Linked DNA regions of Saccharomyces cerevisiae S288C. The protein of the gene in region 1 interacts with the protein of each later gene in a biochemical or structural test. Each region holds a gene or a part of one and is shown in the gene's direction. Other genes may lie near its edges. The genes, in order: CMK2, OPY1, PIR1 and GRX4.

Region 1 (5,712 bases):
GTAAAGTAGGTAAAGTTCTAAACTATATGTCAAGGGTGTCCCAAAATAAAAACTAACAGTACTTAATGAATAGAGTTCCTGGGATTGTGCTGATCCCAGTTTTCTTTGGCAGCTCTGAGCGCTTCTGCAACTCTATGTAGGCAATTTTTAAATCGGTTGACTTTTTCTCTAGATTTGTTCGGTAAAATGAGGTGTTCTTGTGATAAATTTTCTCTTTTGTTGTCACTTACGTCAACGCTCAGCCTAGGACATGATGTCTTAACCTTAATAGTTCTTCTCGACAATATATTTTTGAAATGTTCGTAATTTCTGAAGAAACTATTTTGTTTTTCAACACATACAGAACTTCTCCTCATGACAACACTTCTTACACTTTGATCTCTACTAAAGGTAGAATTTGGTGAAGCTAGATGGACTGGATAATATGGTGATGATTCCGATATTATTTTCAAATTAGGGGTCAAAATTCTGGACCACGTTGAAGGTTCCCCATACGGATCAGGAGCTGGGTTTGAGCAGACCCAATTTGCTGTTCTTCTCGAGATTGTCTTTGCAATAGCAGGAGTTATACGTTGCATTTCGGCTATCGCTTGATTAGTAGTGTCTTTTAAGGCACTTTCGTCGCTGGAAATTACTGTTGCATGTGTCAATTCGATTGAGAAGGGGTTACTATCTCTTGTGGCCTTTTGTTCCGGAAACGTAAGCAGTTTATTGCCTGAATCAGTAGAGACAGTTCTACCGATTTTTTCAAACTTCCTCTGTGTGGTGCTTTGTTCATTGCGAAAATTTGATCGGTATAAGCGATGTGTACGGTTTAAAGTAAGTTCTTGAAGGGTAGGATTGTTGCTTTCATTAATTTTTTCTAAAGAAAAATTACTTCTCAACAAATATTCAGTTTTTGCTGACGTTGTAAGTGGGAATTCGACGGAGAATGTTTTATCATCGCAAACGTTCTCACTTGTGCATGAACTTTTTGTTGTTTTTGATGTAGTGGCGTTCTTTCCCTTTTTATTCAATATCTTTTTCGATATATAGTGTAAATTTTTGGTGTCACTGTCTAGAGAAAGGAAAGTCTTTCTTGGTGTCTTTTCCCAATTTACAGATACTCTATAATTTACTGTCGTAACCGCAAAAGAATCCACTGAATCTAATTTTGACCATCTTATTGTTCGTTTGAAGGAAAAGCATAAAAATTTGCCGGTAAATTTTCCAATTTTCATACCGTCACCATGAAAAACTGCTCTTTTATCGTCAATAAAAACATTTGGAACATTAACGTTAGTTCTCAAATACAGAATTGCCTCGCCGGTTTTTTCATCCTTTACGCTCTTATATATGAGATCGTGGAAATGCTTGACAAACAAATTATTTAAATTTGCATGAGGTTCTGCAAATAGCAACATGTTGTTTTTAATCCTTCCAAGAACTTTTTTCATTAGTGCAAAATAGGGAGTGAAGACAGCATGGAAAGCGCTTTTTAACGTTTCATTCGTAAAGTTCAAACTGTTCACGGAACATTTTCCAGGCCAGTGGAATCGTACCCAATAAACAGTTGGACATAGAACTAGGACTGGCATACACTCTTCCATTTGGAGAATGGATATTAGTATAATGTAAATATAATTGATTTCATCTGGATGTCTCTCAAAGTCAGCAACGCTGATTCGTTGGATGTATTTGTTTGAACCTGCCAACAGCCTGAAGTACTCTAATTTTTGTTTGTATGTAGCGAAATTAGTAAATTTAGCCAATCTTAGCATGCCTCTAGAAAATGATATATTGATGCTTTCGAAGCCTGGTAATCTAGAGTATTCAATGAACATGATTGAAAAAGCACTAGGCCAGGTGATTATACCGCAGACTTACGGTAATATAAGGGCAAGAGAACTAAAAAAATCAATAATGTAGGCTTATATTACAGTTCTTTGTGAGATATTCCTTTCTAGAGCGTTTTCTGTGTCCACTCAATTAATATATACACTTCCCGTATCCTAACATTTACTGACACAATGATAGGCACAACGCGCGAAGGAGCGGTGGGGCTTTGAACAATAAGGACCCTTACATAGAAAAGGCGTTAGAACAACAATATGGTTAGGCCATAGAAACCTCGGTGTCTTTTAGGAACTTCACAGAATAGAACATACTGCAGTAGATATAAATACACCACTGGGGCAATGCAGCCTGGTTTTTTCCAAATATACAAAACACTTCATGATACTTACTAATGGTCGTTGATACAGTACTCATTGTATCATTGCAGGAGAGTTAGGTTGGCTTTTTTGCATTTATTTATTTATTCATTTACTCAATTGACAGGCAATGTCAATGATTTTTTGGAAGAAATTTGCCTAATGTTTTTACTCAGTTACTCACCGCTCCCTGGATAACATAAGGTTCATTTGCTTCCGTACTGATTTTTTTTGGCAGTCTATAAGCCACTATGTACTTCCCAATGCTCCTGCAGGCATATTCTTTTTCAATTTTCATGTTTTTACTTCCAGTCGTTGAGCATCATATGGATTCTATGTTGATGAGGCTTTTCAGAACGTGCTGTACTTTCGGAGAAGCGCCCGCTTTAACGCAGCGCGAAGAGAATAATTGAGGCTTATCTTAGAACCCTGCCCCCTTTGAAGCCACCCATTGCTGTTTCTCTTGGTAATCCTAATAATATAAAACAATACGATATTGTTCAAGATCAGCAGAACTTCAATTCGTTGATCAATCTTTTCGTCACCTTTTCTTCTATCACATCGCCAATATAAATATAGACACCAAAAATGCCCAAGGAGTCAGAGGTCATAAATTCTGAATTTCATGTAGATGTCCAAGATCCAGAGCGTCTAAACGGCCACCCTGTAGCAAAATTTATCAATAAATTAAGCGGTCAACCTGAATCTTACGTCAACAGGACTAATTATATTTTCGGTCGAACACTGGGTGCCGGTTCCTTCGGTGTTGTGAGACAAGCCAGAAAGTTGTCCACAAATGAAGATGTTGCTATAAAGATCTTATTGAAGAAGGCATTGCAGGGAAACAATGTGCAATTACAGATGCTGTACGAAGAGCTGTCCATTCTTCAAAAATTGAGTCATCCGAACATTGTGTCATTCAAGGATTGGTTTGAATCGAAGGATAAGTTCTATATTGTCACTCAGCTGGCAACAGGAGGTGAATTATTTGATAGAATTCTGTCTAGAGGGAAGTTCACAGAAGTGGATGCTGTTGAAATCATAGTTCAGATTCTTGGTGCCGTGGAGTATATGCATTCCAAGAATGTTGTTCATAGGGATTTGAAACCTGAGAACGTTTTGTATGTTGATAAGTCAGAAAATTCGCCTCTGGTAATTGCGGACTTCGGTATAGCTAAACAATTGAAGGGGGAGGAGGATTTGATATACAAAGCAGCCGGATCGTTGGGTTATGTGGCACCAGAAGTCCTCACACAAGATGGACATGGTAAGCCTTGTGATATATGGTCCATTGGTGTGATCACATATACTTTACTGTGCGGTTATTCTCCTTTTATTGCCGAAAGCGTTGAAGGATTCATGGAGGAATGTACAGCTTCGAGATACCCGGTAACCTTCCATATGCCATATTGGGATAACATATCTATTGATGTTAAGCGTTTCATCTTGAAGGCATTGAGATTGAATCCAGCTGACAGACCAACTGCTACGGAATTGCTGGACGATCCATGGATTACTTCAAAGAGAGTTGAAACTAGTAATATTTTACCAGACGTTAAGAAAGGGTTTTCTTTGCGTAAGAAATTACGTGACGCTATTGAAATTGTGAAGCTTAATAATAGAATTAAGAGGTTAAGAAATATGTATTCATTAGGGGACGATGGCGATAACGATATAGAAGAGAATTCCCTCAATGAAAGTCTTCTGGACGGCGTCACACATTCGTTGGATGATTTACGTCTGCAATCTCAGAAGAAAGGGGGAGAACTAACAGAAGAGCAAATGAAATTGAAGTCTGCATTAACAAAGGATGCCTTTGTTCAAATTGTCAAAGCTGCAACAAAGAATAAACATAAAGTTTTGGCTGGTGAAGAGGAAGACGATAGCAAGAAAACACTGCATGATGATCGGGAGTCGAAGTCAGAAGACTAAATTACGGACTTGAATTCGTGTACATAAATTCGTATATAATATTTAATGTGTAAAGCTAGTGACGATTTTATGTAACCAGCAGCTACACTTCATGGCATTCAAACTATAGACCTTTTCTGGCATTACGCCTCAAGCTTCTTTTTTCCCGAGAATTATCTTGTAGTTGCCTAACGGGTTCTGAGAAGATCTCTATATCATCACAATTCCTATCACAATCTTTAGCGCCATTGTGTAATTCTCTTTTCCCAAAAGATTTATCTGTCCTATCTTCACCTTTTCTTGTCAATGTATTCTCCTCACTCAGATATTCTGAATCATAGTCATCGCTAACGTCAATGTCAACTTCATTTTCACTTTCCTCGGAAACGTCACCATTTACATCACTCGAGTAATGCACCGTGGTTCTTCTCTGAGAGCTTGTTCGCAAATGACGTCCTTCAGTACTGCCTGTAGGGGCAGCAGTTATGCGCTGAATAGTCTCATTTATGAATATACTGAAAATTTTCAAAAACTCAATTAGATTGTCTATACCCTTTTTTGTATCATCGGTGTCATTTTCAGTAAGTGATGATAAACTTTCCAAATACTCAATGAAGTTGCTCAAAGAATTCGAGTCTCCTGCAACTTCAAACCAATGCGGCACCTCGGCAAAGTGAACATCATTGAACTGTAAATTACGGATACATGCAGGAGTGTTCCTATATATAAGTTTAAGTTGACACTTGTTTTCATTTTGTGCGGTTTTTGCAGGCAGTATTTTTGTACCCTCCTCTTTGAATTTTACGAAGTAATTAAGATAAGTTGACATGTCATTGAAACTGTAACTAGTGTTTACTGAACTGCATTCGTTGCCAATCCAGAATGGTGGTAAGTAGAAATCTCCAACTCGTGGAATTCTCGCTATCATAAACTCTGATGTCCTTAACTTGTAAATTTCGTCTACGGTGGGATCATCAATTGGTGTGTGTGTAAATTCGTTTGCAAAATATTCACCCCATTCTTCATTTATTTTAACTGCAGCTCGTAATCTGTCTGTAGTTACTTTTTCGCTCAATGATTTCCGAACACCCTTTAGAAATTTCATCTGACTATTGATCTTACTCAGTTTTCCTTTGTCGCTGGGCTTCCTTTTCTTTCGATTTTCCAACTTTTGACTCATCAAAGAGCATAAAACTTCACAACTATCTAATATGTTATTGGCCCCGCACATAGCAAACCTGCTGGCGTGAAAAGTTTGATGGTTGAACCCTGTATCGCCTTTCAAGTGAGTGAGCCTTTGAATTTCATTATGGAAAAGTGCGGAGTAGCTACAATTCCAATCGATCATGCATCTCAATAATATTATTCTATCTAATGGTTCCATCGTCAACAAACCACCTCCATTAAAATTTAGAGTAGATAAAATATCACTATTACCACGCCATTCTTTTGGTAAGCCCCACTCCTGGATTAAGCTTCTGAGTTTGCCAACCAGTTTTCCATATGGATTTTTCAAACTAAGAAATCTTTTTAGCGTGAAATTTCTATGAGTTTGGTTGTCTGCTCTTTTCTCGGAGCAGAATAATAACCTCAAAAGACTGCAAAATAG
Region 2 (3,450 bases), on another chromosome or scaffold:
CCTATGATGGACAGTTTTTCGTTTAAAGAGGGTATTGAATCAGTAGTGCCAAAATAATGGAACAGCAGCAACTGCTTGAAAGTGTCATTTTCGTTGGTAGATCTTGATGGATCAAAAACCGTAATATAGTGTAGTCTCATATCCGTCTTTCATATATCAATTTAATAGTTGTACGATTTAGAATGTATTTTTGGTTCCACGTCAAATGAAACTATTTCCCTATTGCTACTACATATTATTGTCATCGCAATAAAATAGGCTAAATAGTTACCCGCTCGTTTCGTCTTTTGTTCGGGCGAGAGCTTCATTACTAACTACTATTGCATTTTGTTTATTGATTTGTTGCCATGAGTAGCAGCAGTCTGAAGGGGTTACCAAACGTTAGCTCGTCTATCAAGCACGCCAAGGTTCAACGACACTACTTTTGTGTAAGATGTCGGACCAGGATAATACCCAGACTTCTTCAAGCAAGTTGGCACCTCACCATAATATTTTTATGGCAAACTTGGAAAGTTCCCCCACAAAAGATAGAAATACCTCCAGCCAAAATGCCTCATCTTCGAGAGTCATTGAATCACTGCATGACCAGATTGATATGCTGACAAAAACAAATCTACAATTGACTACGCAATCTCAAAATTTATTGAGTAAATTGGAATTAGCACAATCCAAAGAATCAAAACTACTGGAAAATTTAAATCTGCTGAAGAACGAGAACGAAAATCTCAACTCGATATTTGAAAGAAAGAACAAGAAGCTAAAAGAGCTAGAGAAAGATTATAGCGAATTGAGTAACCGTTACAATGAACAAAAGGAGAAAATGGATCAATTGAGTAAATTGGCGAAAAATTCTAGTGCCATTGAACAATCTTGCTCTGAAAAATTGCAAAATATGGAAGTTAACTATAATTCATTATTGGAGTCACAAAATCTTTACAGAGACCACTATTCTGATGAAATTTCCAAATTAAATGAAAAAATCGGTTTGTTGGAGTTAGAGTTAAGTAATCAAAATTTAAATTATGGTTCAGATACTAGTTCAAATTCAGATATAGAATTGAATTTAAATAAATTCAATGACTCTGTGAAAGATTTGAAATCTCTGGAAACAGAAAAGGATTCAAAATTAAGCAAGATAATCACTCACTCTTTAGATGAGTTAAATCTACAAAGCTGGCTAAATCTGTACCAGACGAACGAAAATCTGATATCAACTTTTGCTGAAAAGATGGATTTGAAAGACGTCTTGAAAAGAAACGATGAGAAGATTAGTAATAAAGGCGCGGTAGTACAAACCTTGAAGAAGAATGTACAAACCCAGGTGGAAAGCAACAACGCTGACGCTTTGAGTAGCAATAATGCACAGGATATGCTTCCTATTAAGATGGTCAAATTAAGAAAGACGCCGAACACAAACGATTCATCCTCCAATGGTAATAGCAGTAACAATAAAAGAAGAAGTTTCTATACTGCGTCGCCTTTGCTGTCATCGGGTTCTATTCCAAAATCTGCATCCCCGGTTTTGCCTGGTGTTAAAAGAACTGCCTCAGTAAGAAAACCAAGCTCGAGCAGTAGTAAAACAAATGTAACGCATAATAACGATCCAAGTACATCTCCCACAATCTCAGTGCCTCCCGGTGTTACAAGAACTGTTTCCTCCACTCATAAGAAAAAGGGAAATAGTATGGTTGTTCACGGGGCCCAATCCTAGAATATGCCGACACAAGGGAGTATATATATAGGATTCATTTAGATAATAGAACAAAAGTAAATAGATGCCTCTAAGGTTTTATAGACACGAATCCATATTTTTCACTTTCGGTCACTCACAACGGTTTTTTCTCTACTATAATGTGGCTGAAATTAAACGAACAGGCCAAAATGTGGTACGCAATAGTAGCCAGTAGGTGAATTAACCATAAATAATTACGCTAATTTTGCCTTGGTAAATTTCATAAGACCAATGATAGCAGGTGCGACTGCTCCGTCAAGTCAGCATGAAATTTTGATCGCATCGAATCTCATCAAGAAGCCATCAACGTCTCAAAATAAAACGCCGACAGCTCAATCCAGTTCAGGTAACAATGGAGCTGCTGATGGTGCACCGCAGGGTTACCATCATCACCATCATCACCATCGTCATTTATGGTGGCCTCGGACAACAGACCATCAATATTGGTGTGTCTTGAGGAAAAACCAATTTGCCTATTACAAAACTCGGGATGAAAGAGAGGCTATAAGTGTCATACCGAGATTTGACATACTTAATTTTAAGATAAGCGAGCTCGATGGTATATTAACTGTTTATACTCCATCCAAGGATTTAATATTCAAATTTCCACGAGGGCAAAATGAGAAGGTTGGTATGGAACTGATGCATAATTGGAAAATTGCCCTTGAAAAATTCCTCTCTAGTCCTAGTGGCAACGAAAGTGTCACTACAGGTAGTGATTATGATGAAGAAGAGGATGATGATGATTTAATTGTAGTTGACGAAAAGGCGGGTCCTTCTAGCAGCAAGCATTCTTGCAGTTTGACGATGGATGAGCAACTGTCTCGTGAAGATAAAGAATTTTATAGGATGTTCGATCCAAGAAATGCAGAGCACCAGGTTTGTTCTGGGATTCTTTACACAAAAGTGAAAAAGAAGAAACTGTTCAATAGGGCTAAATGGCAAAAGTTCAATGTGGAATTGACTAATACTTCGTTCAATTTATACTCTTTCAAGACTGGGAAGTTAAAGAAAAGCATTAAATTGGATAAAATTATCGATTGTATTGAACTTGATAATAATTCGAAGATGAAAAATGACGACACTAATTTTGCGCTAATTACATTTGATGAAAGGTTATCTTTTAAAGCCGCTAACGATCAAGATATGGTGGATTGGATAATAAATTTCAAGAGTGGAATTTTGATAAGAAAAAAATTAAAGGCCGAAAATATATAAGCAATGCCAATGATGAATATGTATTGACTTTTTTTTTCTTTGTACTATTAAATAATACGTGTAATTGTTTTCCTTACGTCTAGTTAAAAAACTATTTATTTATTTGTATTTTAATGATAATAAGCACTTTTTTCCTCGCTGAAAATTAAGGGAAAGGACCAAATACAAAAGTGATTAGAAGGATAACGAGTAGAGAAAAAGGGAAGTAAAAGTTAAAAACTAGAATCCTAGTATGACATGCATTGCCCAATTTGCCACCATAGAGCGCATGTAGTGTACTGTGCACATTGTATCAATACGAGCCCAAGTCTGCTACTGAAGCTAAAACTAGATTTAATTTTATTAAAGGATGAGAATAAAGAACTTAACGGGAAAGTCGAACAAATATTAAACGAGGCCATGAACTATGACCAGTTAGATATCAAGAGGATGGAGAAAAAGAAAGATCCCCTGATGAATAGTCTCATGAAGTTAGATGTTTTACGAATGAAAAAGAATAA
Region 3 (5,277 bases), on another chromosome or scaffold:
GACTAAGTTGAAAGATAAAATATAAAGTATTATAAACGATATTTTTATAGCAGGACCACCTAATAGCATACAAATAGCTATAAGTATGTTTGATTCTGAATTATATTTAGGTAATTATGTATCATAAAATTTTTTTTTTTACAATTAAAAAGGTACGACATGTAAATCTGAGTAAATTCTATAACTATTTTTATTATAGCGACGAACGATAATGTGTGAAAACGTGATGCTTTCTCGAGCAAACGCTAAATGAATGCAAAGAACGAGGAAAGGTTTGGAAATAAAGACATGCTAAATGAAAAGGATGCCATAAAACAAGTTTATGTGTGGGGAATGAGAGTGGCAACTAATTCGTGAAGTTAAAGGAGGACGACTCCGATTGATCGATGCATCGTTCAACAGTCAATTAAATCTATAGCTTGCAAATAAACTTCATGGCACTGAGAACCAATGTGCTTATCATACAAGTTATAGAAGTCACCAGACAAACATTGGTAAAAAGTATCCTGGTCACCAAGAGCTAAGTTACCTTCTGGGGTGATGGACCAACCAGCAGCATAGATAGCACCAGCTTGTGGTGGAGGACCATCGAATTGGAACTGTCTGTTGGCAACGATAGAGCCAATTCTACCCTTCCTATCGGTTAAGATACCCTTGCTTAAACTCATTGACAAGGTACTATTGTTATTACAGGAAACAACATCGACTGGATCGTTAGCGTCTTTCACTTCAGCAGTAGCCTGGACTTGGCCATCACTTACTTGACTAGCGCCACTGGTAGTTTTAGATGCTTGTATCTGCCCATCTGTAATTTGGGATGCAGCAGCCTTAGTAGAGGTAGTGGCCTGAACTTGGCCGTCAGAAATCTGAGAGGCAGCGGCAGCAGTAGACTTGGCAGCTTGAACTTGACCATCAGTTATTTGAGAAACGGCAGCGGCAGTAGACTTAGCAGCTTGAACTTGACCGTCAGTTATTTGAGAAACGGCAGCGGCAGTAGACTTAGCAGCTTGAACTTGACCGTCAGTTATTTGGGAAACAGCAGCGGCAGTAGACTTAGCAGCTTGAACTTGACCGTCAGTTATTTGAGAAACAGCAGCAGCGGTGGATTTCTTAGAAACAGCAGCAGTAGTAGTGGCAGCCTGTACTTGACCATCACCTATCTGAGAGGCGGCTCTCTTTGCTTTAGATGAGGCGACGGAGGAAGCACTGGTAGCCACGGCTTCAATAGCAATACCGAAACTCGAAGAGTAATCTGTTATACCACCCTTGTAAGTAGCTGATGGAGTTAAAGTGGACCACGGGTCCTTTGGAGCATAGGCAGCTAAAGATGTAGCAGCTAAAGCGGAGACGACTAATGGCTTTTTATATTGCATTTTTACTTATAAACAGTACTTGTTTTATGAGATTTCTTATTGATGTAAATGTAATAATTATCTAAAGAAATCTTAGGTTACAGTTTCAGTGTTAGACAAAACAAGACACAAATCAATAGAGCATGCTAAATGACGAGAATCTTATATAGGCTTGATTTGGCGCATGTTGTAATGAATGGAGTAGGGATAATCCTGGAGATGCATGATTTATCCCTTCTATTTCAGTCGACGGCGAAATATGCCAAATTTAGAAAGCCCTCGGCCTTTGATCTATAATTAGTTTGCTAATCGTTTGATCCCCTTTAACTTGCAATAACTTTTCCCGATGAGGTAAAAATACAGCTTAACCGCCAAGAAATTGCGCGGGGCCAGAAATCAAATTTAAAGGAAGTAGTGTACAATAAGGTCGATTTACTCCTTCAACTACTACTACATTCGGAAATGGTTGCTCGGTTCCGAATAAGGTCTCTTACGCTAGCTTCCCGGTGACCTTACCGATCTATGCCCGTAAAGTATTTTTGCAATTGTATTCTGTACAAAAGTTGTCTTTTGGATGCATTTTTCACACATTTGCATCAATGAAAGTCCGAATGCGCCTATCATCCCGTTGTTGTCTTAAGATTATAAGAAAGTACATGGGCAAAAACACGATAATAGTAATGTAGTGACTCCCGTTTAGAATAAAGAGCTGCGCACATACCTAAAATGGTTGCACATTTTAGAAACCTACTCGGTGGCACGTGAAGTGGTATACATTTAGTTAATAGTTAAATAATTTTCGTACAGAATATCGCACCGTCTCTTAGCATAACAGTGTATCTCACAATCTTTGTTCCTGTTACTAGAGCGAAAACTTAATGATCTAGTTATATCTTCTTTTGTCCCCTCTTGGCCCCTCAATAATGTTTTATTTAGCACCAGCACTTTTCTCATTTGGTTTTTCTTTTTTTTCTAATATATTCTGCCTTTCCTATTTAGGTAATAATTCCTCGAAGCCAGACGCCTTTTTCGGCTACTTTTTTGACAGCTGCTGCCCCTTTAATGAAACGGTTGGTCGAAAAGGAGTCAATGTATATCTCATATGAAATATGCAAAGCATTCCTGTCATCGGAAAATGACGTGGCTTGGAGCGCATAAAAATGGAGAGATCGGCCAGCTTGCTCTTAATTATATCATCATTTATTATTAGCAGCCTTTTTATGTCCTGCCAATTATAGAAGCAACGCTAATAAAAGAAATTGAGATGGCGGACGTAAATCCTTCTTGGAGCTCGATTACTTGCTTTAATAATACGATGGACCATCATTTAGCCCATGTATCTGAAAGGGTTTAGACTGTGTCCAGTCAATCTCTCCTGCCCAAATATTAGAACGCTGGTATACTAATTATTCTTTCAATAAGAAGATCGTAATGCTACAATTCTCACATATAAAAAGGAGCAAGATCTTTACTACTTTATGCATAGTTGTCCTATCTTCTCTATTACTGTATAAGAATAATATCATCAAGAAAACAAAAGTTAATACACTGGTATTAAAAAAAAACAAACTACAAAACTCCCCTAATAGTATATTCTAGAAAATGCAATACAAAAAATCATTAGTTGCCTCCGCCTTAGTTGCTACATCTTTAGCTGCCTATGCTCCAAAGGACCCGTGGTCCACTTTAACTCCATCAGCTACTTACAAGGGTGGTATAACTGATTACTCTTCTACTTTCGGTATTGCTGTTGAACCAATTGCCACTACTGCTTCCTCCAAGGCTAAGAGAGCCGCTGCTATCTCTCAAATTGGTGACGGTCAAATCCAAGCCACTACCAAAACCACTGCTGCTGCTGTTTCTCAAATTGGTGACGGTCAAATCCAAGCCACTACTAAAACCAAAGCTGCTGCTGTCTCTCAAATTGGTGACGGCCAAATCCAAGCCACCACCAAGACTACCTCAGCTAAGACTACCGCTGCAGCCGTCTCCCAAATTGGTGACGGTCAAATTCAAGCCACTACTAAAACCAAAGCTGCTGCTGTCTCTCAAATTGGTGACGGTCAAATCCAAGCCACTACCAAAACAACTGCTGCAGCTGTCTCTCAAATTGGTGACGGTCAAATCCAAGCCACTACTAAAACCACTGCTGCTGCTGTTTCTCAAATTGGTGACGGTCAAATCCAAGCCACCACCAATACTACTGTTGCTCCAGTCTCCCAAATCACTGATGGCCAAATCCAAGCCACAACTTTAACTTCTGCAACCATTATACCATCTCCAGCTCCAGCTCCAATTACTAATGGCACTGACCCAGTAACTGCTGAAACATGTAAAAGCAGTGGCACTTTAGAAATGAACTTAAAGGGTGGTATCCTGACTGACGGTAAAGGTAGAATTGGTTCTATCGTTGCCAACAGACAATTCCAATTCGATGGTCCTCCACCACAAGCTGGTGCTATCTATGCTGCTGGTTGGTCCATCACCCCAGAAGGTAACTTGGCCATCGGTGACCAGGATACTTTTTACCAATGTTTGTCAGGAAACTTCTACAACTTATACGATGAGCACATTGGAACTCAATGTAATGCAGTCCACCTACAAGCTATCGATTTGCTCAACTGTTAATCATAAGTTTACCTCTCATAGTCGCATGAAAACATAAAGTCATCGTAGCATATTCTGTACATTAGTCATTTCTGTCTCCAAAGGGCATAATTTGGGTCGGTTCATTTTTTTCTTCTTAATTCGTCTCTTCATTTCATAAAGCTTTCTTTTGAAACCTATGAAATGAGCTTTACAGTTCTTCACTCTTTTTTTTAAAGTTTGTTTATTTTTTTATACTATATACATTATTATTTCTAAAAAATCATTATAAATTACGTTAAAAGCGCACCTTATACTTTGATAGAGTTTTCCCAGAAAAAAAACCAACGAATTTGATAGTACCAAGACTTCACGGGATTGAAATCGGATGCAACTTCAACTATTCCTGGGACAGAATATTTCTCAGACATTACTTTGTGTACCGTGGAGCCCTTTCTCATTTGAGAAGGAAACAAATTGTTGTCATCTTATAATGCCATATATTCGTCACTATCTCAGTCAAAATTTAAGAAAATTGACATGCATATTATCATCCATTTAGTAGTATACGTGTTACTAGTATATTATCACACACGGTGTATTCTGTACACATAATATTATAGCCTTTAACAGCAATGAAATCCAACATTCCCCACAACATTCACCAATTATCCATGTAAATGAAAAGAGTTCTTTAATATTTACATGAGTAATTCCATTACGTTTCAATTTTCTATCCTTTGTAATCCGATATAGTGTAACGGCTATCACATCACGCTTTCACCGTGGAGACCGGGGTTCGACTCCCCGTATCGGAGTTTTCATTATTATTTTTAATCTAGCAGTACTAGCGTGATGTTAATGTTACTCATTTTATTTTGTTGAATCATTATGGTGCAGTACTTTTCATAGATATGTATTTCATATGTGTCTTTTCGTCCTAAACTACAGGATGTTAATCGTTGAATATGTATATGTTGATGCCACGTAAATAATATGTGTATTCTTTTTGCATCGCTGTCATTAAACGCGAAAAAAAAACCTTAAAGGTAAAAAGAACCGTTCTTTACTATATATTCAACAACCCATCTTCGACCAAAGCATTGAAGAGCCTTAGGACTCATACAACTGAAATCTGTAAAAAATGTGGAACAAAACCAGAACGACGCTTCTGGCTGTTGGTGTCTTATTTCATTTATTTTACCTATGGTCTATTTTTGATATCTATTTCATTTCACCGCTCGTTCATGGTATGAGCCCATATCAAAGTACTCCAACCCCTCCTGCAAAGAGATTGTTTTTGATTGTCGGTGATGGTTTACGTGCAGATACCACTTTT
Region 4 (5,175 bases), on another chromosome or scaffold:
ATGAGTAGCTAGTTGATGGACGCTCCGTTTCTGAATATTCTTTCCGAAAACACGAATTACAAAGTAAAACCATGTCTTCACCCCCAAACCTGATGATTTGAAGTTGGTGTATATTTTTATCTTGACATTCCTCACAGCAAATATCTTCATCATTTGAAGTGTCGAATACAGTTTTATGCCTCGTACTTGAGAGATGCTTCATCATCTGCTCAGCATCATAAGCCTGGCTACACGTTCTGCACTGAAAATCCATCGTGTAGTACTTCTTAGTCTGCGGAACTCCTTATATTGTCACAACTTTGTTCGAATTCTTCAAATGATGAACTTACATTATACATCACTCTTGAGCATTTTAAGACTCTAAAATCGCATACAAATAGCATCCATTACCCGACTACACAGGAATAAAATACGGCGGAAATATAAAAAAAAAAAAATAGCGGCATCTTCAATATCTCTGTACTGATTACTAAATAGACGGTAACCAATTCACGTTGCCGATCGAGGTGTGACACATCACTGTCATGTTCATTTTACAATTCTTATTGAGTGAGAGCGCTTGTATAGAATTTCTATCTTTCTTTTAAGAGGTGCAGTTCAAGTAGGATTTAGTTGGAAATGATAACTTGTTTGAGTAAGCTTTGGTTCCGCTTGTTATGACCTGCTTCATTCTCATATAACCTCATTTGTTAAAAATCTAAAAAAGAATCAATTTCTTCGATTATAAGTGCGTACCAAAAAAGCGGCTAATTTTGGTATTTGTGATATCAAATATACATTGCAACCCAATTTTCATCATTGCGCTTGAGTTTACTATTTCAAGTCGGTGTGGTGAAAGGTCTCTCCAATATTTGGGTACCAATTTATCGAAGCAGCTGAAATTTTACGATGTTAGATCGATTCCCGTGTCTGACAGTGTTTGGGCTGCAAATTTTTTGTGCTTCTTGAAGGCAACATGTGAGATCGGGAAGTAAAGCCCGCCAGAGTATGTTCTCAGTAAGTCATATTGACATAACACTTGGATCAATTGCGTATTTAGAAATTAATTCCTGTTTTATTTTAAGATGCTGACATTTCAATTATAGATTTTTAGCCTGTCTTATACCACCTAGAATAATTTGCTAATGTTTAGAAACTGATCTTGGTGCTCACGCTAATATTAAAAAATATACCCTGCCTCAATATCATTATGAGTATTTTATTCTCAAATATCATCCGCGAATTTTCTTGCAGAATATTTCTACAACCACGTTTGTTTTGACTAAAACAGATAAATGTTTTATGTAGTCTCATGCATTGTTAAATGACCAATAAAAAGGGTGTTCCATCAACCTATCTAATCAGAAAAATTAGGTGCAATTCTGCCGTTGTTTACTATAAATGAATCACACCTTATGTGTTGATGTTCATGACTCACAGTAATATCCTTTTTTTTTCTGGTTTTCCGAAAGTTTATCTTCCTTATTTTCATTTTTAAAGGAAAAGGAATGTAACTAATTTAGTATGTTTTCGTTGTAGCAGTCTTTATTAGTTGTTATGAGAATTATCTCCTAACAAGATAACAAAATAAGTGATAATAATGTCTACCTTTTCTGCTTCTGATTTCAACTCAGAAAGATATTCATCTTCAAGACCTTCTTATCCCTCCGATTTTTACAAGATGATTGATGAATACCACGACGGAGAAAGGAAATTACTCGTAGATGTTGGCTGTGGACCAGGTACTGCCACTTTACAAATGGCTCAGGAGTTAAAACCATTCGAACAAATTATCGGAAGCGATCTCTCCGCTACCATGATTAAGACTGCAGAAGTAATAAAGGAAGGAAGTCCTGATACATACAAAAACGTTTCATTTAAGATTTCTTCAAGTGATGATTTTAAATTCCTAGGCGCGGATTCAGTAGACAAACAGAAAATTGATATGATTACCGCAGTAGAATGTGCTCATTGGTTCGATTTCGAAAAATTTCAGCGATCTGCTTATGCCAATTTGAGAAAAGATGGTACTATCGCTATTTGGGGTTATGCGGACCCAATTTTCCCGGACTACCCTGAATTTGATGATCTGATGATTGAAGTTCCTTACGGGAAGCAAGGACTGGGACCCTATTGGGAACAACCGGGGAGATCTCGCCTTCGTAATATGCTGAAAGACTCTCACTTAGACCCAGAACTTTTCCATGATATACAAGTTTCATATTTTTGTGCAGAAGATGTGAGAGACAAAGTAAAACTCCACCAGCATACAAAGAAGCCATTGCTAATCAGAAAGCAGGTCACCCTAGTGGAGTTTGCAGATTATGTCAGAACCTGGAGCGCTTACCATCAGTGGAAGCAGGATCCAAAGAACAAAGATAAAGAAGATGTAGCAGATTGGTTTATTAAAGAGTCACTAAGGAGGAGGCCGGAACTTTCCACCAACACCAAAATTGAAGTTGTTTGGAATACTTTTTACAAACTTGGCAAAAGGGTCTGAAAATTTCAGCCAATAAGCATTATATTCGTGAAATTTTAGTAAGAGCGCGCGTTTTAATTGGTGAAGCCTCGCGACGTATTCACAGATGTCCTAGAAAAAGTTACCATATCTGAAGACTGGTTGATATTTAGCTTAAATAGCATATTAATACTGTACCAGTTGAACCATTTTTTAATCTGTTACTGCCAGGAACGTTGATTCGTTTTCCCGGTAACATTGTTGTCTTTGGGTACTGAGCATATTTCATTTTTCCACTTACATATAACTAAATTTCTGTGCTCTTCCTCCAATAAATATGACTGTGGTTGAAATAAAAAGCCAGGACCAATTTACGCAACTAACCACTACAAACGCTGCTAATAAACTCATTGTCTTATATTTTAAAGCTCAATGGGCTGATCCTTGCAAAACTATGAGCCAGGTGCTAGAAGCTGTTAGTGAAAAAGTTAGGCAAGAGGATGTCCGGTTTTTATCAATAGATGCAGACGAACATCCAGAAATATCAGACCTTTTTGAGATTGCAGCCGTACCATACTTCGTCTTCATTCAAAATGGTACTATTGTAAAAGAAATATCAGCCGCAGATCCTAAGGAGTTTGTGAAAAGCTTAGAAATTCTTTCGAATGCTTCTGCCTCACTAGCGAACAATGCCAAGGGTCCTAAATCTACGTCTGATGAGGAAAGCAGCGGGTCTTCCGATGATGAAGAGGACGAAACTGAAGAAGAAATAAATGCTAGGCTGGTGAAGCTAGTACAAGCTGCACCTGTGATGCTATTCATGAAAGGAAGCCCATCAGAACCTAAATGCGGATTTTCTAGACAGTTAGTTGGTATCCTCAGAGAACACCAAATAAGGTTCGGATTTTTTGATATATTAAGAGACGAAAACGTTAGACAAAGCTTGAAGAAGTTTTCTGATTGGCCTACTTTTCCTCAGTTATATATCAATGGGGAGTTCCAGGGAGGTTTGGATATTATCAAGGAATCTATAGAAGAAGATCCTGAATATTTCCAACATGCTCTACAGTAAGCCTTATTTTGTAATGAAAACTATATTCATACATATATACATATTAATATATATGTATATATTTTTATTTATTAATTTATTCTAGAATGTAATGTGCATAGATTTGTGTGGAATATTTCCTGGGGTTTTCTCGTCAAATTTAAAGAGTAAAAAGTTAGAGTATTTCCAGATCTGAATCTGAAAGGGACTCACTGATAACTGGCGCTTTACGCGGCTGTCTCTGGGACAGAATTTCACATAGAGACTCGTCTTCGTCGCTTCTACCAAATGTTTCATTGCCAATATTATTGCTGTTATCGCTATCGCTATCGACAATAGGGTCATCATTAAAAGAAGTTTCTTCGTCTTCAAGATCGTCGTTAGCCATCATCACATTTCTTTCATATTGGTCAATCAACATGCGAAGCCTTCTGTCCCTTTCCTTTTTTTGATCCTCTAAATGGTCACAATTATTGCTATCATTATCCATCAATGGTGCTAGTCCATCCTCCACAGATAGTGCTTCGATAGGCCCGCCTATCCGATCCACAACGTCGATTCCGTTCTCAACTTTCATTATATCACTAAATTTGTCCATGGTTTGTTTGGGCCCCGAGGAGCCACTCGGAAGATTCTTCAAATAATAGAGAATGTATTTTTTTTTATAACTCTGACACTTTCTAATTAGAGGTGCGTAGTAGCCAAATTCTAGAGTTATATTCCTGAAAGAATGTACCGCGTTGTACTTATAAAGACTAACATTTAACCAATCTTCAGCTTGAACTTTAAATGAATTTTGTAATTTTCTTACTTTCCATTCTCTTGGAAAATAAACCGTTCCATGATTATGGCCTTGTTTACTGATGTTACGAAAGGTTTTGCGCACTTCTCGTAAACCATACTCATTGGATTCTGGTAGACCATTCATATTATCACACTCGCTCAGGCAATCCACAATTGATGATGCATCAGAAATGCTGAATTCGCCTTTATTAAATGTGTTATAGTTCTCTAATATTCCTAATTTGAAATCCTCTTTCGATAACAAATTGTTCGAATTTTCGAAGAGGTTATTAATCATTTCGTTATCGTTATTCGTGCTATGGGAACCATGTATCACCTTCCCAATGGCATGAAAGTATGATATGGTGGATTCTCGGGTTGAAATCGGCAAACTTCCACTTGATGTCGCCCAAAATTGAAGGGTCGTAATGGCCGACCTAATATCACCAGTCTCTTGCGCAATATAATCTATGACTTCCTGTCTTTTATTCCATTTATTTTTCTCCTTCAACATTTTCATATTCTGTACACAAATAAATTTCAAGTGCTTTTTTAATAAAGTGCTGTTAATTGGATTAAACTTAATTCTTTTCAACCTTGGATGCATCAATATTTCTTTGTTCATTATGGTTTCTGCACTAAATGTATAATCAATACCAAATTTGCGATAATTATTATCGTTCTCTGGAATTTCACATTCAGTTATACATATAACAAGGGGAGGTAATAGAGGCTCCGAACTATATAGCCACTGTAATATAAGTTGTTGAAATCGACGTCTGGTATCTATATGGAAGACGTTGGGAAGGTCCTCGATAAGTATTAATGACAGGTTGGACATCACAAGATACCGTGCGCCTTTTAAGAACTCACTAAAGCTTTCCATCTGAGGAAGATCGTTGAC

The links.
Region 2: the proteins of CMK2 (region 1) and OPY1 form a complex in vitro, tested with the Saccharomyces cerevisiae proteins (one large-scale study listed by BioGRID).
Region 3: the proteins of CMK2 (region 1) and PIR1 form a complex in vitro, tested with the Saccharomyces cerevisiae proteins (one large-scale study listed by BioGRID).
Region 4: the proteins of CMK2 (region 1) and GRX4 form a complex in vitro, tested with the Saccharomyces cerevisiae proteins (one large-scale study listed by BioGRID).

The regions. Positions count from the first base shown.
Region 1 is NC_001147.6:293,189-298,900, reverse strand, and holds CMK2 (calmodulin-dependent protein kinase CMK2), read left to right. Parts: upstream 1-2,780; coding exon 2,781-4,124; downstream 4,125-5,712. Other genes in the region: IRC10 (Irc10p), read right to left, coding at 63-1,823; ESC8 (Esc8p), read right to left, coding at 4,228-5,712.
Region 2 is NC_001134.8:493,853-497,302, reverse strand, and holds OPY1 (Opy1p), read left to right. Parts: upstream 1-1,963; coding exon 1,964-2,950; downstream 2,951-3,450. Other genes in the region: CCZ1 (Ccz1p), read right to left, coding at 1-140; SHE3 (She3p), read left to right, coding at 434-1,711; ATG14 (Atg14p), read left to right, coding at 3,188-3,450. UniProt on the Saccharomyces cerevisiae protein: Binds phosphatidylinositol 4,5-bisphosphate (PtdIns(4,5)P2/PIP2) at the cell membrane. Negatively regulates the activity of phosphatidylinositol 4-phosphate 5-kinase MSS4.
Region 3 is NC_001143.9:140,497-145,773, reverse strand, and holds PIR1 (beta-1,3-glucan linked protein), read left to right. Parts: upstream 1-2,954; coding exon 2,955-3,980; downstream 3,981-5,277. Other genes in the region: PIR3 (beta-1,3-glucan linked protein), read right to left, coding at 396-1,373; mannose-ethanolamine phosphotransferase MCD4, read left to right, coding at 5,083-5,277. UniProt on the Saccharomyces cerevisiae protein: Component of the outer cell wall layer. Required for stability of the cell wall and for optimal growth. Required for resistance against several antifungal and cell wall-perturbing agents and for tolerance to heat shock.
Region 4 is NC_001137.3:536,768-541,942, reverse strand, and holds GRX4 (monothiol glutaredoxin GRX4), read left to right. Parts: upstream 1-2,774; coding exon 2,775-3,509; downstream 3,510-5,175. Other genes in the region: ECM32 (RNA helicase), read right to left, coding at 1-253; YER175W-A (uncharacterized protein), read right to left, coding at 1,129-1,293; TMT1 (trans-aconitate 3-methyltransferase), read left to right, coding at 1,580-2,479; RAD24 (Rad24p), read right to left, coding at 3,664-5,175. UniProt on the Saccharomyces cerevisiae protein: Monothiol glutaredoxin involved in the biogenesis of iron-sulfur clusters. Binds one iron-sulfur cluster per dimer. The iron-sulfur cluster is bound between subunits, and is complexed by a bound glutathione and a cysteine residue from each subunit.